Linked DNA regions of Arabidopsis thaliana. The protein of the gene in region 3 interacts with the protein of the main gene of each other region in a pairwise test. Each region holds a gene or a part of one and is shown on either strand. Other genes may lie near its edges.

What was found.
Region 1: the proteins of AT2G23780 (region 3) and RBK2 interact in a protein complementation assay, tested with the Arabidopsis thaliana proteins (one large-scale study listed by BioGRID).
Region 2: the proteins of AT2G23780 (region 3) and AT5G66830 interact in a protein complementation assay, tested with the Arabidopsis thaliana proteins (one large-scale study listed by BioGRID).

The regions. Positions count from the first base shown.
Region 1 is NC_003074.8:1,433,838-1,442,428, forward strand, and holds RBK2 (ROP binding protein kinases 2), read right to left. Parts: upstream 4,703-8,591; 5' UTR 4,363-4,702; coding exon 4,310-4,362; exon of another isoform or gene 4,055-4,309; coding exon 3,942-4,054; intron 3,809-3,941; coding exon 3,395-3,808; intron 3,295-3,394; coding exon 3,043-3,294; intron 2,956-3,042; coding exon 2,718-2,955; intron 2,642-2,717; coding exon 2,506-2,641; intron 2,408-2,505; coding exon 2,258-2,407; intron 2,151-2,257; coding exon 1,980-2,150; 3' UTR 1,847-1,979; downstream 1-1,846. Other genes in the region: AT3G05130 (paramyosin-like protein), read right to left, coding at 1-1,542; AT3G05150 (Major facilitator superfamily protein), read left to right, coding at 6,379-6,534, 6,648-6,710, 6,809-6,898, 7,025-7,084, 7,189-7,254, 7,391-7,456, 7,696-7,771, 7,896-7,960 and 4 more.
Region 2 is NC_003076.8:26,686,881-26,694,398, reverse strand, and holds AT5G66830 (F-box protein (DUF295)), read right to left. Parts: upstream 3,147-7,518; 5' UTR 3,096-3,146; coding exon 1,911-3,095; 3' UTR 1,710-1,910; downstream 1-1,709. Other genes in the region: AT5G66840 (SAP domain-containing protein), read left to right, coding at 26-131, 234-332, 424-538, 630-1,477; AT5G66820 (uncharacterized protein), read right to left, coding at 3,289-4,780, 5,235-5,302.
Region 3 is NC_003071.7:10,119,676-10,127,836, reverse strand, and holds AT2G23780 (RING/U-box superfamily protein), read left to right. Parts: upstream 1-3,200; 5' UTR 3,201-3,363; intron 3,364-3,593; 5' UTR 3,594-3,602; coding exon 3,603-4,286; 3' UTR 4,287-4,314; exon of another isoform or gene 4,315-4,799; 3' UTR 4,800-5,340; downstream 5,341-8,161. Other genes in the region: AT2G23790 (calcium uniporter (DUF607)), read left to right, coding at 382-933, 1,687-2,145; LYK4 (protein kinase family protein / peptidoglycan-binding LysM domain-containing protein), read left to right, coding at 5,757-7,595.

The DNA.
Region 1 (8,591 bases), on a different chromosome or scaffold from region 3:
GAGCTCTACAAGCTCCTTTTCGAGTTTAACATTTTCGCTTTTCAATGATTCAGATTGACTCTCCAAATCATTCTTCGCTGAAAATAAACTCTTACGCTCAATCTTAACTTTCTCAAGCTCTTCTAGAGTTTTTGCAACCATCTTCTCTGATTTCAAAACCTCTGCCTTAAGATCCTCTCCATTTCTCTTCTCCTCATCAAGTGCCTTATCAGCTTCTTCTCTCCTGAGCTCAACTTGCGCAAGAGCATTGCTTAGCTGATCAACTTTGCAGCTAAGCTTACCGTTAATCTTGGTTTGATCATCACAATTCTTTTGCAGCACAGCAACAGCATGAGTTAGCTCATCAGCCTTTCGATTCAGCTCAACAAGCTTCCTCTCCCGACTAAAAATACGCTCCTCAAGCTCAACTTTCTCCCGAGACAACTGGTCAATCAACTTCCCCTTATCAGATGACTGTACATTGAGCATCTCCATCTGTTTCTCAATCAAATTCTTCTCTCCTATTAACCTCTCAACCTCAGATTCCTTGATTGTCCTCTCTTTCCCTAATGCATCAATTTCCACCATCATTCCACTCTCTTTCTCCATAGACTCATCAAGATTCTTCTCCAACCCGATAACCAAATCCCTCAAAACCTTCTCTTCCTTTGTCAAACTCCGCACAGTCTCATTCAACTTGTCTAACTTTCTCTCCAGCTCCTCGATTACTCCTTTTTGTTCAATCTTTACAATCTCCATCTCATTCTTCTCACTTAAAAGCACTTTGATCTCTCTCTTCAATCCATCAATCTCATTCTTCTTCTCCTCCATTATCTTCTCCAGACCAATCTTCTCCTTCTTTACCCCTTCAATCTCCTCTTCTCTCACCTTCCTCTCCTTCACCAATCTCTCATTTTCAGATTCCAATTTCCCAATCACTATCTCCAAATTGGATTCTTTCTCCTCCAAACGAACTACACACTCCTTCAATCGATTCACCTCCTCATGCTGTAAATCAAACCCATTCTTGATTAAGTCCCTCTCATCACAAACCTTCCTCAACTGTTCCTTCTCAATCTCAACCTTACCCGTAAGCTCAATCGCTTCCCCTTTCAAAACCCTAATCTCACTCTCTCTATCACTCTTCTCCTTCACCAACATATCAACTCCAACACACATCTCTCTAAACTGGCTCTCAACAAACACAATAACAAAATCCAATTCAAACTTCAACCCGAAATTCTCATCACTCACCTGATCCAACTCGTCACGCAACCCAGTCTTCTCCTGACAATAACGAGCTAACTCGGTCTCCAATTCATCCTTGGCCTGAACCAGCGAATCGATCTGGTTTCTCTTCTCCATAGCTTGTTTGAGAAGCATCGCATTAAGAGACTTCAAATTCTGGAATTGCTCCTCCGAAGAATCGTGTTCTTCCATGGAAGACTGACGGCTAAGTACCGTGGCTTTCTTGTCAGTCTCCGGTGCTTTCTGGTCATGTTGTTGTTGTCGGTTATCATTAGCGGTGTCGTTACTGTTACGCGACGCTTTCTTCTTGGCCATCGTTTTGAGGATTCTCGAAGGTTGCAAAAAAAGTGGTGGCGGTGATTAGGGTTTTTTGAGGATTTCGATGGTCAGTGTGAAGAGAGACGAAACGTCTTTGGGGGTAAATTTGCAAATTCAAAATTCAGGGCCCAGATTTTAAGATTTGATTTATCTTATCACATCAGTCTTCTCTGTTTTTAGATATTTTCGTAACGTAAATCCAACAACGTTGCACGTGACTGCCACGTGATACTAGTGACTAGTGAGAGTGATTATAAACCGAATTTAAGCTGGAATTAAACCGGTTTTAATTTAGTTTGTTCCATTCCCATCCATAAACAAATTTCAGCTATTTTGATCACATAATAGTTTTTTTTGGTAATTTTTTCCAACGATTTACATTCACCAATGAAAGAAACCAAAATAGTTTTACATAATAATAATTTGGATCGATTTCAAGAGGCTAAAGCAACCTCTCGAATGCGATCAAGATCTCCCAAGTACTTAGTGGAGTTATATTCTACACTATCTAATAATTCTTCGGAATACGTTCGTTGCATCATCTTTATCTTCGCTTCTCTTGGAGTCATTACGACATCTTCGTGGCCTAGTAATAATTCCACAACCTGGATACATTTAAAGAAACAGTATCAAAACCGGAACCAAAACGAATTTGACATTTGGTTCTTTCCCACTTTGAAACCTTAACCGGGATGGAATTACAATATTATACCTGGCTCATCCGGGGTCGTAGAAGAGAAGATTGATCGATGCATAAAGAAGCCGTGGAAGTTAACCGGATAAGCTCTTCTCGGTTATACTCATCTCCAAGAGATGGATCCACCAATTCTTTTATAGCTTTTCTCTCTAGCAACGGCTTAGCCTGTAAGCAAAAAGGAAACGTAACTCGTACCAGACTGATAAAAGGATAGTGAACCGGTCCGGTTTAGCCTCAAATGTCAAACTGGTCTATATACTCACCCATAAGACAAGGCTCTGCTGAGACTCGTCAAGGGCAGGATGTCCGGTTATGAGCTCCAAGAGGAGAACTCCAAAAGCGAAAACATCAGTCTTCTCGTCCACGATTCCGTGCATGAAATATTCAGGTGCAAAGTACCTAAAACATTGTCCAACCAAATTCTCAACTGAACCACATAAAAAAAAACTTTTCCTAAAAAATTTCAAATTGTTACCCGAATGTTCCCTCAAATTTGGATACGTTATGGTGTGTCAATTGCTTGGGAAGCCATTTGGCTAACCCGAAGTCGCAAATCTGCGGTTGAAAATCTTCGGTGAGAAGAATATTATCAGCTTTGATGTCTCGATGAATGATTCGTCTTTGACAACCCTCATGAAGATACACTAGTCCATCTGCTGTTCCTAACGCTACATTGTAACGTCTGCTCCAAGTCAGCTTATATTTTGATGGTCCTGTACAAATTAATTTGAGCATTTAGATATGATAAGCTTAAAAGCCCGATATGTATATCCGTTAAGTTTATGGGTGGATATAGAAACCATGGAGGAGAGAGCCTAAGCTTCCAAGAGGAGATAGCCGGAACACGAGATGCATTCCACCCTCGATGCAACAACCGATGAATTTGGCAGTGTTAGGATGATCAACATGAGCAATAATCCCAAGTTCCGATAGAAACTCAGCTGTTTGCTCGTCCGGTGTGCCTTTTGTCAAACGTTTCACAGCGATTAGCTTTCCTTCCGGTAGAATTCCCTGGTATACATCGGCGTAACCGCCTCTACCGATAATGTTTTCTGCATAGAAGCGTCGTTTTAATTGCAGTAATAGTAGCAACCAAACAGTCCTTCAAGTAAAAAAGAAGAGAGTATATTGTTATGAAGATAAACTCGATACCTGGACTGAAATTGTCAGTTGCAATTTCGATGTCAGATATTGAGAAGTTTTGGAGAGATGATTGGAAATCGTAGATATCGTGAAGGACCATGCCATTCATGTTTGGATCTGCACTTTTGTTTTGTTTGATGATCGGTGGGGCGGCGCCACTTAATGGAGGAAAGGAAGAGAGGCGTTTCATGGATCTGCGTTTCCATAGCTTGAAGAATTTTCCCCAATTAGAAGATGCTCTGTGATTCTTGCACTGTACGTCTGTGTCTGCATCTGCATTGTCGATAGCTTCTCTGTTTGGAGGAGGATCGTCAGATGAAGATGAAGCGGAAGAGATTGAGCAACGAGTTAAGCAGGCTTCGAGGGCTCCTCTTGGTGATTTGGGGTCTTGCTTCTCTTTATCTACCTCTAGTAATCTTAGATCTGGGAGGAGAAGGGAGAGAAAACGTTGGAAGAAGCTAGGTTTTTTGGTGTACAAGCAATGAATAAGAATACAGAGGACAAGAGAAAACAGAGCAAACATAGAAACAGAGGAAACAGAGGAGCTAGGTTTTACCATGAGCTGAAGCAGAATTCATAAGAAACGCGTTGGTTCTTTTATGTTTTGACGTATGATTTATGTCGTTTGGATCTTCTTCAGTGACATAACTTGAATATTTAGAGTTGTACCTGCCTCGGGAGATTCAAAAGAAAAGAACAGACTAAACATGTCGTTCTTATGTAAATTTTGCGGGAAATTAAGAGAAAATCGGTGAAAATTCAGGGAAAGTTCGTTAATTCTGCTTAAACGTTCGTTAAGTATCAATGAAAATCATAACAGAACAGAAGATAAACTTCTAGACATTAATATCATGTCTACCAAAAAAAAACTCAAATCAAATATAAGAACAAACAGAGAAAAAAGTGATTTGATTGAATGATTACATTGGAAGAGCACAACACACGGGAGAAGCTTCTTTGCTTTGGTCTACCGCCATGAAAGAGTGTTGGTAGGACACTTTTAAGATTTTCTCAGAAACCTGAAAACCTAAAAATAGAGAAGAGGATCATAGAAAGGAAATAGAAAGAAGTTAACATTTAAACCAAAAATAAATAAAAATAGAAAGAAGTTTTGAAGTTGGTGTTCGTCTCGAGACACCCGAAAGAAAAGGTTTTGTCTGTGTGTTTAAAATTTGATTTACTAATTTAATTGTTTTCCGTTGACCAATGGTATATCTACTAGTAGTTTTTTTGTTAAGCTAATAGTTAGACTCTAAAATGACTAAATCCTATATTTGGCAATATGCTTTTGATTTTCTCTTTTTGGATTGAACTCAGAGGCATTCTCTTAGCTTCATTCATTTATGGCAGAAAGGGTTAAGGGTCCTTAAAAATCGCTTCATCTGTCGGTCTCGTTATCCAAACTCATATTCCTAATTTAGGTCTTTTAAGGTTTTAAAAAACTACTTTCTTTATCTTGTTGATAAGGAATTTATAAAAGATCAAACTTGAGTAATCTAAGTAGTTTTAGTTTTACTAATTTCATTTACTGTTACTAATCAATTGTAGATATTGACATTCTTGTATATATTGCGACCTGATAGTAATTATCTTTAATTTTCTATATGTTTTTATTCAAGTAGTACTCTGTTTTGTATTTTCTTTCTTGTGAATAGAATATTTTCTGTGTGTATATGATGCAGAAAGCCTGCATTAAAACCTGCATTGGCTTTATTGCTTTGCACCGTTTATTTATTTTTATGATTCTTATTTTTGTGATTAACAAATATTATTTCAAGTGACTCTTATATAAGTTTTGGATAGTTAAACCACGGACCACAATCATGTTGGAAGTGATTGTTCAATACTTCATTGTTGTATAAGAGAGGGGACATCGATCATTTATGTAAATCTTGTTAGGTACTGTTCTGTTCTATCAATCTATCAATAGTCCCTACGCTAACTTTCTGTACCCTCGATTAAATAGGTTTTTGCTCAATGACGCTGGGTCCAAATTGTAATGACTCAGTTCAACTTCCGCGACAAAATCATTTTCATAGATTTTGATGATTTCTATAGTGGGCGGTTTTTTCTATACATCTTACATTCGCAAGAATTTGAATGATATTAGCCCATATGACGAGAAGAAGAATAATTCATTACTTATGTGGTTAATGCGGAGTGGAAACGAATATCTCATGGCCAACTACAAATCCAAATACTGTCTTTTGAATCCCTGTAGTTTTATACTATATGATCTAGAGTTTTTTTTGGATTTTGTCTCCCAAATTAGAAATTATTATAGTATCAACTATCCATCACATTTATAGAAAAAAAAAAAAAAAAAAACTATCCATCACAGCTTGGATCTTGCGGTGGGCCAGGAAAAAACACATGAGCATCGGATCTGTGGAAAACAACTGTCTTATCGGGTCAAACCTTTGAGTCAATTACACGTTACTGTGCATGTCATAAACCATCACCAAAAAGGAAAACAAAATAACAAACCATGCATCTTACTTACCCAGTAACACAATGCATCCATAATGTACATAGTATTTGTGAATTTTTTGAGGAAAGTATTAGTGAATATTATTACTATGAAATACCATGTAATTACTTCTGAATTATCTTACTTAAGAAAATTCAAGTTTAGTCAATCAACATTAAAACTATAGAGAACCCCCAACGTGTAATAATGCATTGGGAGTTGGGACTTTCATAAAATCTCGAATAAATTAATTCAAATTGTCTAATTCGTCCAAAATTATCCTGCATGGGTTTTAGCTAAGCCAGCCTAGCTACATGTACTGATTTATACAGAGATAAATATAGACATGATATATATCAATAAATTAGGAACAAATCAGAGTTTTTAGATCTAAAAACACGGTGCCTTCTCATTTCCTCCGGTGAGTTATCCAAATCTTGTGTTTCTTATCATATATCCTATATTTTATCTACATAAAAATTGATAAGTATTCGTTGAATTCAAAGGGCATTTTACGAAGAAAATGGAGACAAGAAAAGACGACATGGAGAAAAGGAACGACAAATCCGAGCCGTTGCTGCTGCCGGAGAATGGATCCGACGTCTCAGAAGAAGCATCATGGATGGTTTATCTAAGCACGATCATTGCCGTTTGCGGTTCCTACGAGTTTGGAACATGCGTAAGATTCTTTTACGACACCTATTACTTTGGAAATAAAAGATGATGAGAACCTAAGAATTTGTGACGATTAATCTTTTTGATACGAGAAAATCTGTGTTTGTTTTTTAATAGGTGGGATACTCCGCTCCAACACAGTTTGGGATTATGGAAGAGCTTAATTTATCATATTCCCAGGTTTATATTAAATTGATTAAGTCTTCTACGTTTATAGATGCATGTTTAACAATATTTTGCTTAATCTTTTTTTTTTTTTTTTCTCTATTGGAATCTAGTTTTCGGTTTTCGGATCGATATTGAATATGGGAGCAGTGCTCGGCGCCATTACATCGGGGAAGATTTCTGATTTCATCGGTCGGAAAGGGGTAAAACCTACCTAAACAAAATTGTTTTTATCTCAATATACACACAATAAATCCTAAGAAAAATATACCATTTTTACGAAATATAAAATTACTTTTTGGCTCACATGGTTTTTGTCTTTGAGACAGGCCATGCGGTTGTCTTCAGTGATCTCTGCCATCGGCTGGCTGATAATTTACTTGGCCAAGGTTATTCTTTTGGCTGAATTTCTTCAATAGCTGTTTTCAAAAAAAGCTTTAAAATAACATGGAAAATCTGCAACTAAATAGTGATGTTTTTTTTTTAATATTAGGGTGACGTACCTTTGGATTTCGGAAGATTTCTAACGGGTTATGGTTGCGGTACCCTTTCCTTTGTGGTACGACATTTTCATAAGCATTTTCCCCTTATGGATAAAAAGCCATGCATAGTGTTATAAATTAATCAATAAATAAAAATTCCTTTTTATATATGAAACTTTTTGGAAATCCACATTTGGCACCGATTTTGTGTAGGTACCGGTCTTCATCGCCGAAATTAGTCCGAGAAAATTGAGAGGAGCCTTAGCGACGCTTAACCAGGTGATGATGATGTCCTTTTATTTACTACTGCATTAGAAAATGTACTGATTACAATAGAATCAGAGCTAGCATATGTGTTGGTGTTTTCGAGATATTTGACATTGTATCACAAATTAGGAGTATTTTGTGGTCAAAAAAACAAAAATCAAAACAGTATTTAGAGTTATTTAAATCTTTTAAAAGACAACAAAAAATTATTGTTTTATTTCTGAAATAAATTGAAATTGTTAATATTGCAGCTCTTTATCGTAATCGGATTAGCTTCTATGTTCCTCATAGGCGCCGTCGTAAATTGGAGAACTCTTGCACTAACCGGTAAACTTGTTTGTGCGGTAGCTGAACCGGAAATATTTGTTGTTGGTTTAGTAATTATACAAAATTAGATGGTATAAAATTTAATTTGGGTATAACAAAACGAGGTTTAATTAACCAATTTCAGGAGTTGCACCGTGCGTGGTTCTATTCTTTGGGACTTGGTTCATCCCTGAATCACCCAGATGGCTGGTAAGATCAACGATCGTAACTCAACATATGGTTGAAATTAACCTCTTAACATTAAAACCAAAAAAAAAACTAACCGACCCAACTCATATGCATTTTGCGTTTCAAGGAAATGGTTGGCCGCCACAGTGATTTTGAAATTGCGTTGCAAAAACTGAGGGGTCCTCAGGCCAATATCACAAGAGAAGCCGGGGAAATTCAGGTACAATCTAAAACCAGAAAATCGGTTTTGTTACGTGACATGACATTTTTCGTGTTTTGAATTCCGGTTTATAGGAGTACTTAGCGAGTCTTGCTCACCTCCCGAAAGCCACATTGATGGACCTTATTGACAAAAAGAATATTCGATTTGTGATAGTAAGAATCTCTAATTCCATTCAACCGATTATAACTATTTCCCGGTTTGATTTGGTTAAATCTTATTTTTCTATCTATTCAGGTTGGAGTTGGTTTGATGTTTTTCCAACAATTCGTTGGAATTAATGGCGTTATCTTCTACGCACAACAAATATTCGTATCAGCAGGTTATAATTCGAAAATGATCTAGCAAATGTTATAATCTAACATACTCCATTTCTAGACCATTCATCGGTTTTTGTTCCATTTTTGGAGTACCAGGAGCATCCCCAACTCT
Region 2 (7,518 bases), on a different chromosome or scaffold from region 3:
AATCAATGATCTTGGGGTTGAATAGGTATGAAAAGATGAAAAAGAGTGGAAATATTATGGGGAGAAGAACTGTCGCTGGCCAGGTTGTTAAAGAAAGCTATGGTACTGCTAAACAACAACACACGTTCACTGTAAGTCTCACCTCTAATGTTTGTTGATCATCTTTATATTCTCTGATCTTGTTGCCTGGTTTCTTCTAACTTCTAACTATCTGGTTTGTGTCTTTATCATAGATTGAAGTGCTCTGGTGTGAGGGGACACAGAAATTGCCACCTTTGTATCCATTACTAGTCAAAGGACGAAATCTTTATAGGTTAATGACCTTGAGGCAGGTGGGTTTTCTTTTCTATTTTTTCATATTCAGTCATGAGTCTTGCCGGTTTGCATATGCTTATCAGTTGGTTGCTCCATTTCTTATTCCAGCGATGGCCAAATGAAGAAGACAGAGTCAAAGTTCTTAACGAAAAGCATAACCGTGGTGCCGCAGCAAGAAAGGTTATGAGAGAAAGGAAAATTAAGTCAGGCTATGTACTAAAAGGTGAGAGATGATTTAGTTTTCTTTGTTATAGAGGTGTGTTTATATATATATGAGAGGTTTCTTTTAGTGATCTTTCTGTTTCTGTTACCAGATGGAAGACTTCAAAAGCCTGGTCATGTGAAGAAGCCTTGTCAAGTAAAGACAAGAAAAAACGAGAAAGATGAGAATCTAACCCAGAGGCTTAGACAAAACACTCCCGCTAATCATTCACTTGTTGCTTTTCCAAACCAAAATCCTTCACAGGGCCATAAGAATCATCCAACACAGTTGACAGATATGAATCCCGCTAATTTCTACACTTCTCGACCACATGCTCCTCGTTCACATGCACCTCCTACATATGCTCCTCGACCACATGCTCCTCGTTCGTACGCTCCTATCAATTCACATCTTCCTCGTCCAAATATTCCTCCTTATCATTCCTATACTTATTCAGAACAACAAAACCAAACAAACCAACGACCACCACCTGCCTCCTATACTTATTCAACACAACAAAACCAAACAAACCAAAGACCACCACCTGCCTCCTATACTTATCCAACACAGCAAAACCAAACAAACCAAAGACCACCACCAGCTTTCTACATCAGAAGAACTGCCTCTAATGCTCCGCAGGGACAAGCATCATTCAACCCACATGTCAATACACACACTGTGCCGGTTACTCATCAGAGGAGACCATACCAGAACCCCCATGTCAGCTCGAACAGTGGCTACAACCTGGGAGTGAGGGACTTGGAACACTTCTCGCATATGATGATAAGCCACAGAAGAGAAGGAGACACATACAGGCAGAGTGAGGTCACTCAAGGGCCATACATGAACCATCAGACCTACCATTCCAACTTCAATAGTAGCTACAACCATGGGGCAAGGGACTTGTACATGGTAAACAACAGAAGAGAAGGAGACAATCACAGACCAAATTATCGATAACACACCGTACCTCGTGAGTAATATCTTTCATCATCATACAAACTTGGTACTTGTCTCTTTTGCAAGTAAACTTACTTCAACACAATTTCCAGGTTCTAAGGCCATAGGAAAGCGTCCTGATCATCGGTTCTCAACCCTTGTCTGTGATTCGTAAGAAAGTTTTCTAGGCTCATGATTCTCTTGATCATCCGTTTCTCTTTTTTTTTTTTTTTTTTTTTTTTTTTTTTTTTTTACGGGTGTGATTTTTTGCCTTCACTCTCATCTTGAGGGTCCGAGACCGTCCTCAAAAGTTATTACCTTGTAATCAAGGATGGTGTTCTTGGCTTAATTATTACTCTATATGGCAAGTATCGTTTGTTGGCTTTATTCTTTATTACTAAATGTTGCAATACTTGATATGAAGAATACGTAGATACATTAAAAAAAAGACAAATTACTGAAGGAAGTATGATTCTCGTTTGAAACATGGCAAGAACCATCGGGCTCTAGAGCGGGGAAAGGAAGAGGAAACAGATCGGTGCGGTTGTTCAACGGTGTTGGAATCGAGGTCGAATATGAAGATTTCGTTTTCGTCATATTGATCTTTAAAATAAGGAGTAGGATTGGAGAAGTAGATGGAATTGGCCTTGATCCCTTGCATGTCCTTGGCGAGCACTGTGATACCCAAATCCAAAAGAATTGTCTCGTCTCCCAGAGAAACAGTTTTCTCCCACTTGTTGTTGTTCCCTTCCATCTTGTAGATTTCAAAGCTCCATATCTTGGACAGACTCGGACGATGGCACTTAACAATTAAGACATGTCCGGCTAGAGTGACTACCATATCATCCTTGAAGTGATTCAACTGGTCCTTCATTGGAATTCCAGGAAGTCTCATTCTCATGGAAATACATAGTGGATTATTTAACAACTTACTTACGCTAGTTTTGAAAACTTTGACCGGAATATCTCCAGAGAAATCGAAGACCTTGAGTTTATAATTGCTCAGACAGTAAAGTTTGTGATCCTTAAAAACCATGCTAAAACACTCTTCGATACCTGACAAGGTTGGGATTTGTTTCCACGAGGAATCTCCTTTCTTGAAAGAAATGGCTAATTCTTCATGAGCCATTCCAATAACTAGGTGATCTTTGCTTTTCTCATCGGTCCATAATATCGGACATGTGAGTCCAAACTCTGGTTGGAGAATCGGTAGATTGATTCTCTCGCGGGTTAGAAGATCAAGAATATAGAGATTATTACATTGATGGTCTAAGTCTTCTTCCATGTATTCTGATTCAGGTTGCATCAAAAGCCAGCTTCCATAACTGGCGATACAAGAGCTCTTTGCGAAATCGTTGCCGAGATTTGGAGTTTTGTACATCTTGTCTTCCTCTTCAGGATTGAACAAGAGACAGTGATTGTTGTCCTTGGGGAATCGAATCATCCAAGGGATTTGATTGTTTGGCTGAGAATTTCTCGAAACTGAAAGCCAAGATGAACAAACGGATTTTGCACGTTGGAAATCGGCAAAACCAAGGCGGTCAAATACAAATTGCATGAGATCTGAAGGAAGCTTCGACCAGCACCAATCGAGATTTCTTCTCTGATCCGGTGGACCAGGGAGTAGCGGAGAGGCCATAGGACGGAATCTTAACCAAGCCCTTCAAGTTTATAAAGACGTCGAAACTTGTCTACGTGACATTCATTATTTAGGTTTGACGTTGCTTGTGTTTATATCTCACTAATGGAATGGCTTGGTGGCTGCTCAGAAAGCCCATTGGGCCTTGCATTATTATATAAAATATTTTTGTTTTTCATTCTTTATTTCTTTGTTAGCCCCATTGGTTACAGAAACTTACAAACCTGGTGTGAGAGTCTGCTAACAAGTTCTGAGGACCCTTAACAAAGAAACTCTCACACTCCTCTCCATCAAAACCTGAGCTTTTACCTTCTCTCACTTCCTTTAACTTATCCATCAAATTAAGCCCTGTCAAGTGATCTCCCCAGATATCATAGTACCTATACTCTTTCGCTTTCTCTTCTTTCACTTCGGTTCTTGATTTCGCTCCAGGTGCTCTCACATTTGGAGCCAGTGAGCTTCGTTGTATGATCATTGACTTAACCCCTGAAACCGGAAACGTTGCTGAGTGCGATAGGACCGGTTTAGTAGGAGGCTTTACTAGCTTCGTTGCGGCTTGAGTAGTAGGTGGTTCTGGTGATATTGGAGACCTAGGAGTTGAGTTTCCGCTGTAACTGCTTGAAACATCTGTGCACTCTGGTGTTAATCCGTTGATTCCTCCTTTCTTCTTTTTCTTGTTACGGCGCCTCTTCTTGTCTTTCGCTGTCTTTACAGTGAGATTCACAGCTTCTGATGCTTCTTCTTCGTGTGAAGAAGCAACTGGCTTAACGCTGCTGCTGTTCTTGGGAACCTCATCGAACACTTGCAGGCTTTCTTTGCTTATGGATCTTAGCAGAGAATCCATTTCAGGGGATATTGTGATCGTAGATGGTTTCTCAACTTCTCTCGACTCCATGTGGTTGCTATTGTTTCTCTTGTTGTTCTCCTCGATGAAGTGATCATTGAAGCAAAATATCAGAATGAGTAGAGCTGCAGCAATAAGAACCGCAATTGCGAATTTCTTCGTCCGCACCCAAAAGACCGGTTTTTTGTAGAGACTAAGCATCAAAACAGGTGCGGTCGCCTTCATAGGTACTGCAAAAACAGCAACTCCAGATGCCCAAGAGAGTTCACTCTGGTAGAAAAAGAGAAACTTTATGGAATCCCCTGGTTCTAATGAAAATCCTTCACATGGATGGTTCACCATAAAACCATTTCCTCCACATTGTTTTCCTGAAACCGTAATACTTAACTCCCTTGTGGTCTTCTTAGTATAGAGCTCTTTGGACATAGGCTCGTAACAAGTGTCTCCAATGTGAAAGAATCCAGTAAATGGCTGAAACTCTATGATGTGGACAGGCTTCAGAGATAGCCACACAACACCAGATAGATTTTTTCTGATCAGAGCAGAGCTACTCCGTGATTCTTTGGGACAAGCCAACACAAATGGATCAGACCGATTCTCTGATCCTAAAGCTGAAAGGAAACAAAACAGCTGTGAACTAGGACAAACATTCTGGTCAGATTTCTGGATTGCTACACTCCCAGAATCTTCACCATTAATAAAGCCCTGAAACTCCATAGCAGCAGAACCAGTGTTGTAACCATATTCAGCTAAGTTATGCAATGTATTGACTGATGAAAGCAATAGACATGAGAGAAGGAGAAGACAATGAAACGCCTTTGATGAACCAAATGCTCCTCCTCTGTTAACACATAAACACAAACACATAAGAGAGGTTTAACAAACAATGAAATTAATTTGGGGATTCACCAACTACTTAAAAAGCTATAAACATTCTAGGAAACAAAAAAAATCACCCAAAAATGAAAAAGGGTTAAAACAAAATGAAAATTTGAATAGTACCCAAAAGAGAGAATGTCATTTGAAGAAATCAGAAGCAAGAAATAGTTCTATAAACAGAAAAAAGACAAAGAGGAAGGAACTATTCCTATTGATAGCGAAAGGCGAAACTTGAATTAAAACTGTTCTATGAAAACATCGAACTAAAACCCAGAACAAGTAAGTGATAGAAGAAGCAGAGTAGTACAAAAGATTCGAACTTGATGTAAAAAAATTAAAACTTTCGTGAAAATCGAAGAACCCATCATCGGGAAAAGATAAAATAAAGTGAGGAAGAAAGAAGAAGAAGGATTTACCCAAGGTGGAAGAAGAAGGAAGGAGGCGTAATCGCTAGGGTTTTTCGCTCCATGTCTGAAAAGAACATCGAATCATCTGAAATTTAGGACTTTTTTTTTTAAAAAGATTATGTGAAGATTTAGTAAACAAAAAAATAAAAGAAGCGATTTTCTTGGGGACGAGAGAGCAACGCCACCTGAAGGAGAAGGGAGGCTGAGGACCAATAGACTGGAAAATTAAAGGAGAGGAACAAGATGACATACTCTTCCTTTAAATTACTTTATTACCCTTCTCTTATGACCTAACTGTTAATCTTTTGGCTTGGGTCCTTTCGTAATATTATTCAGTCGTCTTCTTTTTACCTTTTTTTTTGTTTTAAAATGGTCTTTACATAATGACATTTTAAGACAAATTTTTAGTTTTTGTGATTGTATTTCTACTTTATTTTGTTTTACATATACTTACCGTTTATTTATATTTCAAGTGGTAAACTTTGTAGTTCAATTGGCTAAAGCTGTAATTTAATTTTACTAGCAGAGTGAGCTACAAATACATTTACAAACAGAACAATGAATTATATATCAAAAATATTTTAAAAGCTTATTAAATTTGATAAAGATATTAACTATTATGTGTATAGTATTATACTATTATTATTACGAGATTCGTGGTAAATTGGTGTAATTAAAATGATATAACAAAAACAAAATATACTAATAGCAAAAAAGAAAAGTAAAGAAAAAGCCAAATACTTTTGTTTGGAACGTGGCATGAGAATCCGTATGAGACTTTTGGGGGCAAAATCGGCGTTACACATGTTTGGGTTGCTATGCGAGTGTGTTGGACTTTTGTGTGCGTACGACGACAAAAACCGGTACGGTCCGGTACAATTGCCAACGGTTGCCTCACTAACGGAGTTAATAACGGGGAATCTCGAAGTCTAACGGCGTTTACTTCGTCTAAGAGATTCCTCTCGACGTGTTGCCCACATTGCTACGATTCGCGGTTCTAGGCCCATGAAAAGGTCACATCTTGGATGATCGGACGGCTGAGAATTAAGTGGAAGTTTTAAAATTTTCATTAGACAAAGACATATATAATTGACGTATTAAACTATTTACTTGTGGAATTATTAGTTTTAAAAAATAAGCAAAGATTCTCATAATTAATTACTTGCACCAACCGAACCATTAAACCATGTACTAGACAGCGACTAATATTCTAGACCCCACTCGTATACATACAAGTCTCGTCATTCAAAATCAAGCCACTATTTACAGTTTAAAAGTTTTGTTTTCTTGTATTAATGGTCTAATAGTAGATAACTAGATATTTATACAAACAATATTAAAAGGTTTTTGAACTAGGAAGAAAAAAGGGATGGATGATAGTTATTGACATTGATACGAGTTATTAATTATATAAATAAAACAAGTACGAAGCTTTATGAGTCCTCTACTCTTTTTAAAAACATTTTTTGATAAAATGAAAAGTTAAAGGGGAAAAAAAAAAATATATAAACTAGGGAGTTGTATTTTACCATAAAAAAAAACAAACAAACTATGGAATTATAAATAAGAGAAGTTGAAAAAATATTGTTATGATGATATTATATATGTTATTTACAGACACTGAATAGTGAAGGTAACGAAGGATGTATGTTAAAAGGAAAAAAGAAGAGAGGAAAAAAACCAAAAAAGTGGAGGATGTATAAATGGGTTTCGATTATACCTTTATTGGGCTTAACTCTTTTTTTTTGTGCACAACTAATGGGCTTTAACTAGATGCTCATATTGATGGAAAATTAACGGGCCATCACTTTTTAATACGGCCCAGAAAAAGGTATTTTTTTTTTTTTTTCTAGTTCTGTGTTGGTTAGCATGTCTTTCAGACTCTCAAGCATGGAAAGCATATGTACAGCAGTCGCATGCTAGCAACTTTGCAAATAATAAAGAAGATTTGAATAAGAACTTCCGAAGATATTTTATTTTATTTGATTTTGTAGTTACAAATTACTTTTAAAAGATCGACCGAGCTTTAGTCACACGTGTGGAGTAGTAGTATATACAGATATCAACCAATGTTTACTTTTTACATCACTCACTCAACTCCAAAGTGCTCACCTAACAGATTTTTTGTATTGTTTGTAGAGATCACCAAACTCTTTTCATTTTAATGAAATATTTACATTGTCAACAACAATAAATAAATTTACGGAATGTTTTTTGTCCGTAAACATCTTATTTTGTCTCCTTGAATTTGAATTATATCTACATAGATCTAACAACGACCATGACTAAGAAG
Region 3 (8,161 bases):
TTAGGTTTCTAAAAACAAAAACTAACACTTGTTTTGGGAAATCGCTATAATCGAACGGCTACGATACCACCGCAAAGCTATCACCTCTACCAACCCGAACACGTGTACGTCTCTCATCACTTCCACATTTCTCGCGAGAAAAACCAAAAGAGTTTCGTAAAAAAAACGAATATTCCTGCTGTAATATTAATTTCTCGTGTACGTTCCGATATACGCTGACGTGTACGAGTCTCTTTATTTTTAGGTTTAAAAAAACAATGTTATTATTTGTAAACAGTATATAAACCCTTTTAGTCTCTATTGTTTCATTATTCAGTCGTAAAATAAAACCGAATTTGATTTTTATTTTTCTCTCTCAAAGTTTTTCTTGGGAGAGCAACAATGGCGATGAGGAAGCTTTTATCGAAGAAACTCTTCAATATCACGAATGTTGCTTCACAGAGTCTTATGAATTGTCGCATTTCGTCTTCTTCGTTAGCCGTACGAACCAGAGTTCCGAATGATTCAACAGATACAACCAAAATCGCACCGGAGCCTGGAGATTTGGCGATGTCGCGAAGGTTCATGCATAACAGTGCTATGATTAGGCCGGCGGAGATTATGCAGATGCCGGTGGGAGAGAGTTTGATTGAGAAACTCCGTGAGATTGATGGAAGCAAGGATCGGATTCGATTAGACGGACTTTCTCCGCCGGAGAGGGAGACGAGTTTGACGGTGGCGGATACGAAGAAGCTGCTTAGAGCGGCGCAGATCGAGATTGTGAAATCGAAGCTAAGAGAAACGGGAAGAAGCTGGATGCCGTATAAGGAGTTTGTTAGCGTTTGTGGTGAAGCTTCTTCAGATCCAGATCTCGGATCTAAAATCGCGAAGATGCTTGATGATTCAGCAAACGTCATCGTTTTGGGAGATTCCGTTTGTATTAGACCTGATCAGGTACTTTCTTCGTTCTTCTTCTCTAGCCTTTTAGCATTTTGAAATCGTGCTTTGTCTCTGAGATCTCTCTGAGTATTGCAGCTGATTGATTGGGAGAGATAAGAGAGAGATTTAAAAACTCTCTGAAAAAAACGGATTAGGTTCTCAAAAGTTTTTGTTCGATTTTGATTTTGGAAGCTATACCGAAAACTGATACCATTTTTATTCGGTTGGATCTCTTTTCTTTTGGTTCCAATTCAACAGGAGAATCAAAAACCTCTGTGTTTTTACCAGAGTTCCATAGGAGGTTCCCAAGTTTGAGAGAGATGGTGATAAAGAGGAACAGTTTCTACAGAGACCACAACTCTTTTTTTTTCCCCTAAAAAAAAAACCATTGGTTGGATTAGGGTTATAAATTGAGTCAAGACCCTTTGGTGATTTGATACCAAAACCTAAACATAAAAAAACTTCAAAAGAGAGAGTTGAGAGAAGCTTACTAACTGGTTCTTGGGGGTTATTAGAAAGTTTATAGAGATGATGATGATAATGGGTTGGGTTTATGTGGAGGGATTAGTCAATAGTGGAAGATCTTAACCAGAAACAGGGATATGGGGATGGATTGATTGACTTTATAAACTAGTCATTGATTCATAAAGATGTATTTTTGTTGTGTGTTTTTGAGTGTGCTAATTGTGTGTCTCAAAAGAAGGTGGTGGAGGTCTTGTTTTACCCAGACATTTTCTGTTTTTGTCTTTTGCTATTGTGTTTGATCAGGTTACCAAATCCATTGAAGGACTGCTTCCTTTGCCAAAGATCCATAACCCAAATGACCCTCGGAGAATCGAGTTTAAAGAGCTTGAAGCTGAAAAGGCAGTGATCGATGTGAAAGCTCACACTTTGGTGCGGAAAGAGCTTTGGGCTGGTCTCGGTTACTTGATCCTACAGACTGCGGGGTTCATGAGGCTAACGTTTTGGGAACTCTCGTGGGACGTGATGGAGCCAATCTGTTTCTATGTCACGTCCGTGTACTTTATGGCTGGTTACGCGTTTTTCCTCAGGACATCGAAAGAGCCTTCTTTTGAAGGGTTTTACCAAAGCAGGTTCGAGGCGAAACAGAGAAAGTTGATGAATGAGTATGAGTTTGATCTGGAGAGGTATAATGAACTGAAGAAGCTGTTTTGCTCTAAGCCTTCGGATCATGTTTCCAAGATTCTTGGAGCTATCAAGAGTTAAAATTTTGATTAGGGGAAAAATTGCTTAGATTCAATGTTGTTGTCACAAATGGTGTCTGATTTTACCTAACTAGAGAATTCTACCCCAAAAAAAAGTAAGAAAAAAACGAATGGGTACTACTCTCAAATTTTTCAGTTTTCGAAAAAAAGACAAAGAGGTTGTTCTTATTATTGCGGCTTATGTAACATCAGCGAAGAGTTATGTTTTTGTTTTCGATTTTTATTTTTTATTTTTTTTATTTTTTTATTTTATGACCGATCTAAAATTTAACATTGTGTAAATAAATGTTTGAAGGTGTAATATAATACAGAATTAATTATCTGCAGATTTCATATTTGCAAAAACTAAATGAGATCTATTTTTTTCTAACAAGCGTTTGTGAAAGTACAACTACATTTATAATTTCGTTGTCATGTTATAAATCGAATCAAATCCGATAGCGTGATTCTCCTCCGTAATGGGACGGGTTTTTGTCACATAATAAATTAATAATATCCTTTCATAATTTATTAATTTTAATTAATAATAGTGGAGAATTGACCTTTTGCTATTAATTTTTATGAATCCAGAGAATTAATACTATTGAATAAAAAAACATTTTTTTAGCTCACCAAATATTGGAAAATATTATAATTACATATATCAAATATATTATTATATCATCAGTTATATAAAATAGATGTACATATTACATGACCTTGTGTATGAAATATACGTTGTCATGTATTTAACATCATAGATATATAATTTTGGTATACAGATAAATTAATTTTAATGAAAACTAACACTAATCGATCGGCGTTCACCAACAAAAATATATATCAAACGTTTAGGTTTGACTCTCTGCAATTTCTTTTCCTTTAAATTTTATAATCCTTCGGGAATCTAGTTTACGTTTAAAACGAGCTTTTGGCATCATTTTATCTACCAAAATGTGTTGTTGTAGCTAATCAGGCCCAATATCAGTTTAGAAATTAATATAATCGGCCCAATAATTAATCAAAACTTCCAAAGAAAATATATGGAAAAAAAACGAGAAAAACCAAAAGTCAGATATAGCCTGGAACTTTCTTTCCCAACAACAGTAAGACTCTGTTTTTTCCCAAGATGTCTGGTTTCCTCTTTTGTTTCGTCCAAATCTCTACTTTTTAGGGATCTTGTCCTTCTCTTTTCTGCTGATTAAAACCCTCGAATTTGCTCCAATTCGACGCGAAAAAGGTAAGTTTTGCTCTTTAATTTCACTTTAGTTCTGATCCATGGATCTGCAATTGATTCGATTTGCCTTTGTCGGTTCAAATTCAAATCGATCGTCTTCGTTTCTAATTTGAGAAAGATTAGGTTTTTAATTATGGGTTTATTAGGGTTTGTCCAATCTTATGATTTAGAGCTTTTGATTGATTCGAATTTAGGGTTTTTGATTTGATTTCAATTTTTTTTTTTTGAATTAGGGCATTGAGATGGTGAATGGAGAATCATCAACTAGTACGTCTTACTCTGATAGTAACAATGACACAAATGATCAAGGAGGAGACTTTGAATGTAACATTTGTTTCGAACTAGCTCAAGATCCGATTGTCACTCTCTGTGGCCATCTCTTTTGCTGGCCTTGCTTATACCGTTGGCTTCACCACCATTCACATTCTCAAGAATGTCCGGTTTGTAAAGCCGTGGTTCAAGACGATAAGCTTGTTCCTCTTTACGGTAGAGGCAAGAACCAGACTGACCCGAGATCAAAACGTTATCCGGGTTTACGGATTCCTAACCGACCAACAGGTCAAAGACCTGAGACTGCTGCTCCTCCTCCTCAGCCTGAAGCTGCGAGTAATTTTTTCAACTACGGTATTGGTTTGATGGGTGGAATTATGCCGATGATGGCGACTACGAGGTTTGGGAATTTCAGTATGGGGTTTGGTGGTTTGTTACCTTCTTTGTTTAACTTTCAGTTTCATGGATTTCATGATGCTACGCTTTATGGTTCAACACCGGGTTATCCTTACGGTGGTTATCATAACGGTTTCCGTGGAGTTCCTCCTCGTGGACAAGAGCGTCCTATGGCTCGTGGAGGAAACCAAAGTGATGCATTTCTGAAGAATATCCTCTTTTTTGTTGGAATCTGTGTGGTGATATTTCTCATCTGGTGAAAACGAATCACATTTGGTGTATTTCCAGGTATGATCAAACTTACTTACTTGGTGCAAGTTGTGTATGTAAATATGGTAATAGCTGAGTGTACTTGTCTGCTATTTCGACGTTGTTATTGTATTTTTGTTTTGAAGATGAACCGTGAGTCTACAAGCTTTTTTACACAACTCTTTTGTTGCTTTTGTGTTTTGTCTAAGCATCTTGTGAAAACTAGTTGTGAAATAAATGGTGCGTGTTATGACATAAGAAGTATTATGCTTATAATATTTGATAGATCATTACTTTCTTTGATTCTTTAAGGTTGATAGATGCTAGCTTTTATATAGAATATAGTTTTTAAACTGATTTCTGCTTTATAAACGAAGAACAGACGTTGAATCTAGAACATGAAAAGCTCCCCTTAAATGTGAACCAGATCAGTGGCTAAATTAATGTGTTTAGGAATGATTTGCTGTGTCGGTTTAGTTGTTTGTTTTAACAACTCTATTTTAACATAGAAAAGCTGTGTGTAGTGCTCTGATCTCGTGAGCATTCTTGTGCGAGACTAAGCTTGTTCTTGTGAGTTGATTCACGTAGTGGACTGCTGGGACAGAACATGACGATAAGGGAATCACACTCCGCGATTCTTGTTCTTCTTCTGATCTCTCAGATCTCGAATTCACTCTGTTTACTCGATAGTTTGTTAGGTGTTCACACATTGCTAGATAGTTGTAGATTGATGCTAAATTGCTAATATCGAAACAGTGACCCTAGGGATGACTTCTAGAGCATCACTTACCCGTCCTTGGCTTAAACCAGTCTCAACTACCTCTCCCTTTGTAAATAAACTTTTCAACATGTAAAATGTCATCTTCTGCGTGACGGCGTTGCAGACAACAATGACCACCACTATAGGTAAGTTTTGCTTTAGTGCTATTCCATATTGTTGTTCTGACAATAATAACCTAGAATCCTTCATGGTTTGAGCTCATGTTGGGTCGTAGTGAGAATCAAGAAATGACCAATCTTTTTCTCAGCAGTATGATATGAATATGAACATAAACTGGATACCACCCATTTTGCGTCGGTGATTGCGTTTAATAAGACTTTATTTTCAACGCCCTCTCGCTGAAAAATTATTAGCAACGTCATACATCAAAAGTTGTTACCAATGAATCATTTTAGTTGGTTACTGTCGGAATTAAACCAGAAGAGATGAAGAGAAAAAAAGACAAAAGCCTTTATGTCATCCCTCTCACGTCGTCTTTGGCGGCTTCAAAGCCTTCATATGATTCTGAATCACACACAAAAAAAAGAAAACAAAATCAATGGTATGAATATAATAATTTATCCATTCCAATAATTTAATGAACCTAAAATATTCATTTACTCCAAGAAACAGCTGACTTACTAGAAACAGTTGACTTTTCTTCTTCACCATTCCTATAAACCCAATCAGAAACTTCGCAACCAAATCTTACAGAATCACGATGATCTCGTTTTCATTTCATCTCCTCGTCTTCATCCTCCTAAGTCTCTCTTCCTTCGCAACAGCACAACAGCCTTATGTCGGAATATCAACAACTGATTGCTCTGTTTCCGACAACACAACCTCTGTTTTCGGCTACTCTTGTAATGGTCTCAACAAAACTTGCCAAGCTTACGTCATTTTCCGATCTACTCCTTCTTTCTCCACCGTCACCTCAATCTCTTCCCTCTTCTCTGTCGACCCATCTCTCGTCTCCTCCCTCAATGACGCTTCACCTTCAACTTCTTTCCCTTCTGGTCAACAAGTCATTATCCCTTTAACTTGTTCTTGCACCGGTGACGATTCACAATCCAATATTACATACACAATCCAACCAAACGATTCGTATTTCGCCATTGCTAACGACACTCTTCAGGGGCTTTCGACATGTCAAGCTTTGGCAAAACAGAACAATGTTTCTTCTCAATCTTTGTTTCCTGGTATGAGGATCGTTGTTCCGATCCGTTGTGCGTGTCCCACGGCTAAACAGATCAACGAAGATGGCGTGAAGTATCTGATGAGTTATACTGTGGTTTTTGAAGACACTATCGCGATCATCAGCGATAGATTCGGGGTTGAGACGAGCAAGACTTTAAAAGCTAACGAAATGTCTTTTGAGAATTCTGAAGTTTTCCCTTTCACAACAATCCTGATCCCTTTGGTGAATCCTCCTGCAAATACTAACTCTCTCATTCCTCCTCCTCCTCCTCCTCCTCCACAATCGGTTTCTCCTCCTCCATTGTCGCCGGATGGTAGGAAATCGAAGAAGAAAACATGGGTCTATGCTCTTGCCGGAGTACTAGGAGGAGCATTGGTTTTGAGTGTGATCGGTGCAGCCATATTTTGCCTGTCTAAGAAGAAAACGAAAACGCAAACGCAAGAGGAAACGGGAAACCTCGATAGCTTCATGGGCAAGAAACCACCGATGTCTGATCAAGAATTCGATCCGCTAGATGGTTTGTCAGGTATGGTGGTAGAATCCTTAAAAGTTTACAAATTTCACGAGCTGCAATCAGCTACAAGCGATTTCACATCGTCTAGCTCGATTGGAGGATCAGGGTACATCGGAAAAATCAACGGCGATGGCGCAATGATCAAGAAAATCGAAGGAAACGCATCGGAGGAAGTCAACTTATTGTCTAAACTAAACCATCTTAACATCATCCGTCTCTCTGGATTCTGTTTCCATGAAGGAGATTGGTACTTAGTCTACGAACACGCTTCAAACGGAAGCTTAAGTGAATGGATCCACACGACGAAATCGTTACTAAGCTTGACACAAAAACTACAAATCGCTTTGGATATAGCAACAGGGCTAAACTATCTACACAACTTCGCTGATCCTCCATACGTTCACAGAGATTTGAACAGCAACAATGTGTTCCTCGACCTCGAGTTTCGAGCAAAGATTGGTAGTTTAGGTTCAGCAAGATCAACGACTGAAGATTTCGTGTTGACCAAGCACGTGGAAGGAACAAGAGGGTACTTAGCTCCGGAGTATTTGGAACATGGTTTAGTTTCAACTAAGCTTGATGTCTATGCTTTTGGAGTTGTCTTGTTGGAGATTGTTACTGGTAAAGAAGCTTCTGAATTGAAGAAAGAGATCGATGAAGGTAAAGCTATTGATGAGATTTTGATTCATGGAAGATTGTTACCTGAAGGATTAACAAGTTTTGTTGAGAGATTAGTGGTGGATTGTTTAAAGAAAGATCATTTGAATCGTCCATCGATGGATGAAAATGTTATGTCTTTGTCTAAGATCTTGGCGGCTACGCAGAACTGGGAAGAATCGTCGTACTAAGTTTAAGGCCCACTATTGTTTGGGCCCAAGGCCCATTTAGAACTAGTTAGACCCTTTGTTTTTTTTTTTTTTTTTTTTTATATATACAAATGTCATTAAAGATTTTTAGATTTTAGAAGCTTATGTTATGTTGTGTTGGAGTTGGTCACAAAAAATGTAGATTGGTCAAGGCTGTTAAATATTTAGTTTCTATACAACATGAATTATGAGAATGTTATTTTAGAACGTATTCATACCAATTAGAAATTATTATTTTAAATGAGATTACGTTAAAAATCAAAAATATATCGCTTATTTACATTTTTTTTTTAATTAATTTTGACCAAAAACTAAGCTAAAAATTATTTTCAAAATATCTTGTCCTCATTTTATGATAAAAGATAATATCTTCTCATTACTTCATTTTCCAGATAATGAAATACATAAAATGAGGGAAAAATTAGACAATGAAAGAAACTTGAAGTTCGAGGCTTTGGTGAGGATAGAAGAACAGGCTGTCACGTTTGGGTAGTCGATACACGTGGCACTTTAAGACACGTTGATTCCGACATGGACCACAAATCCCA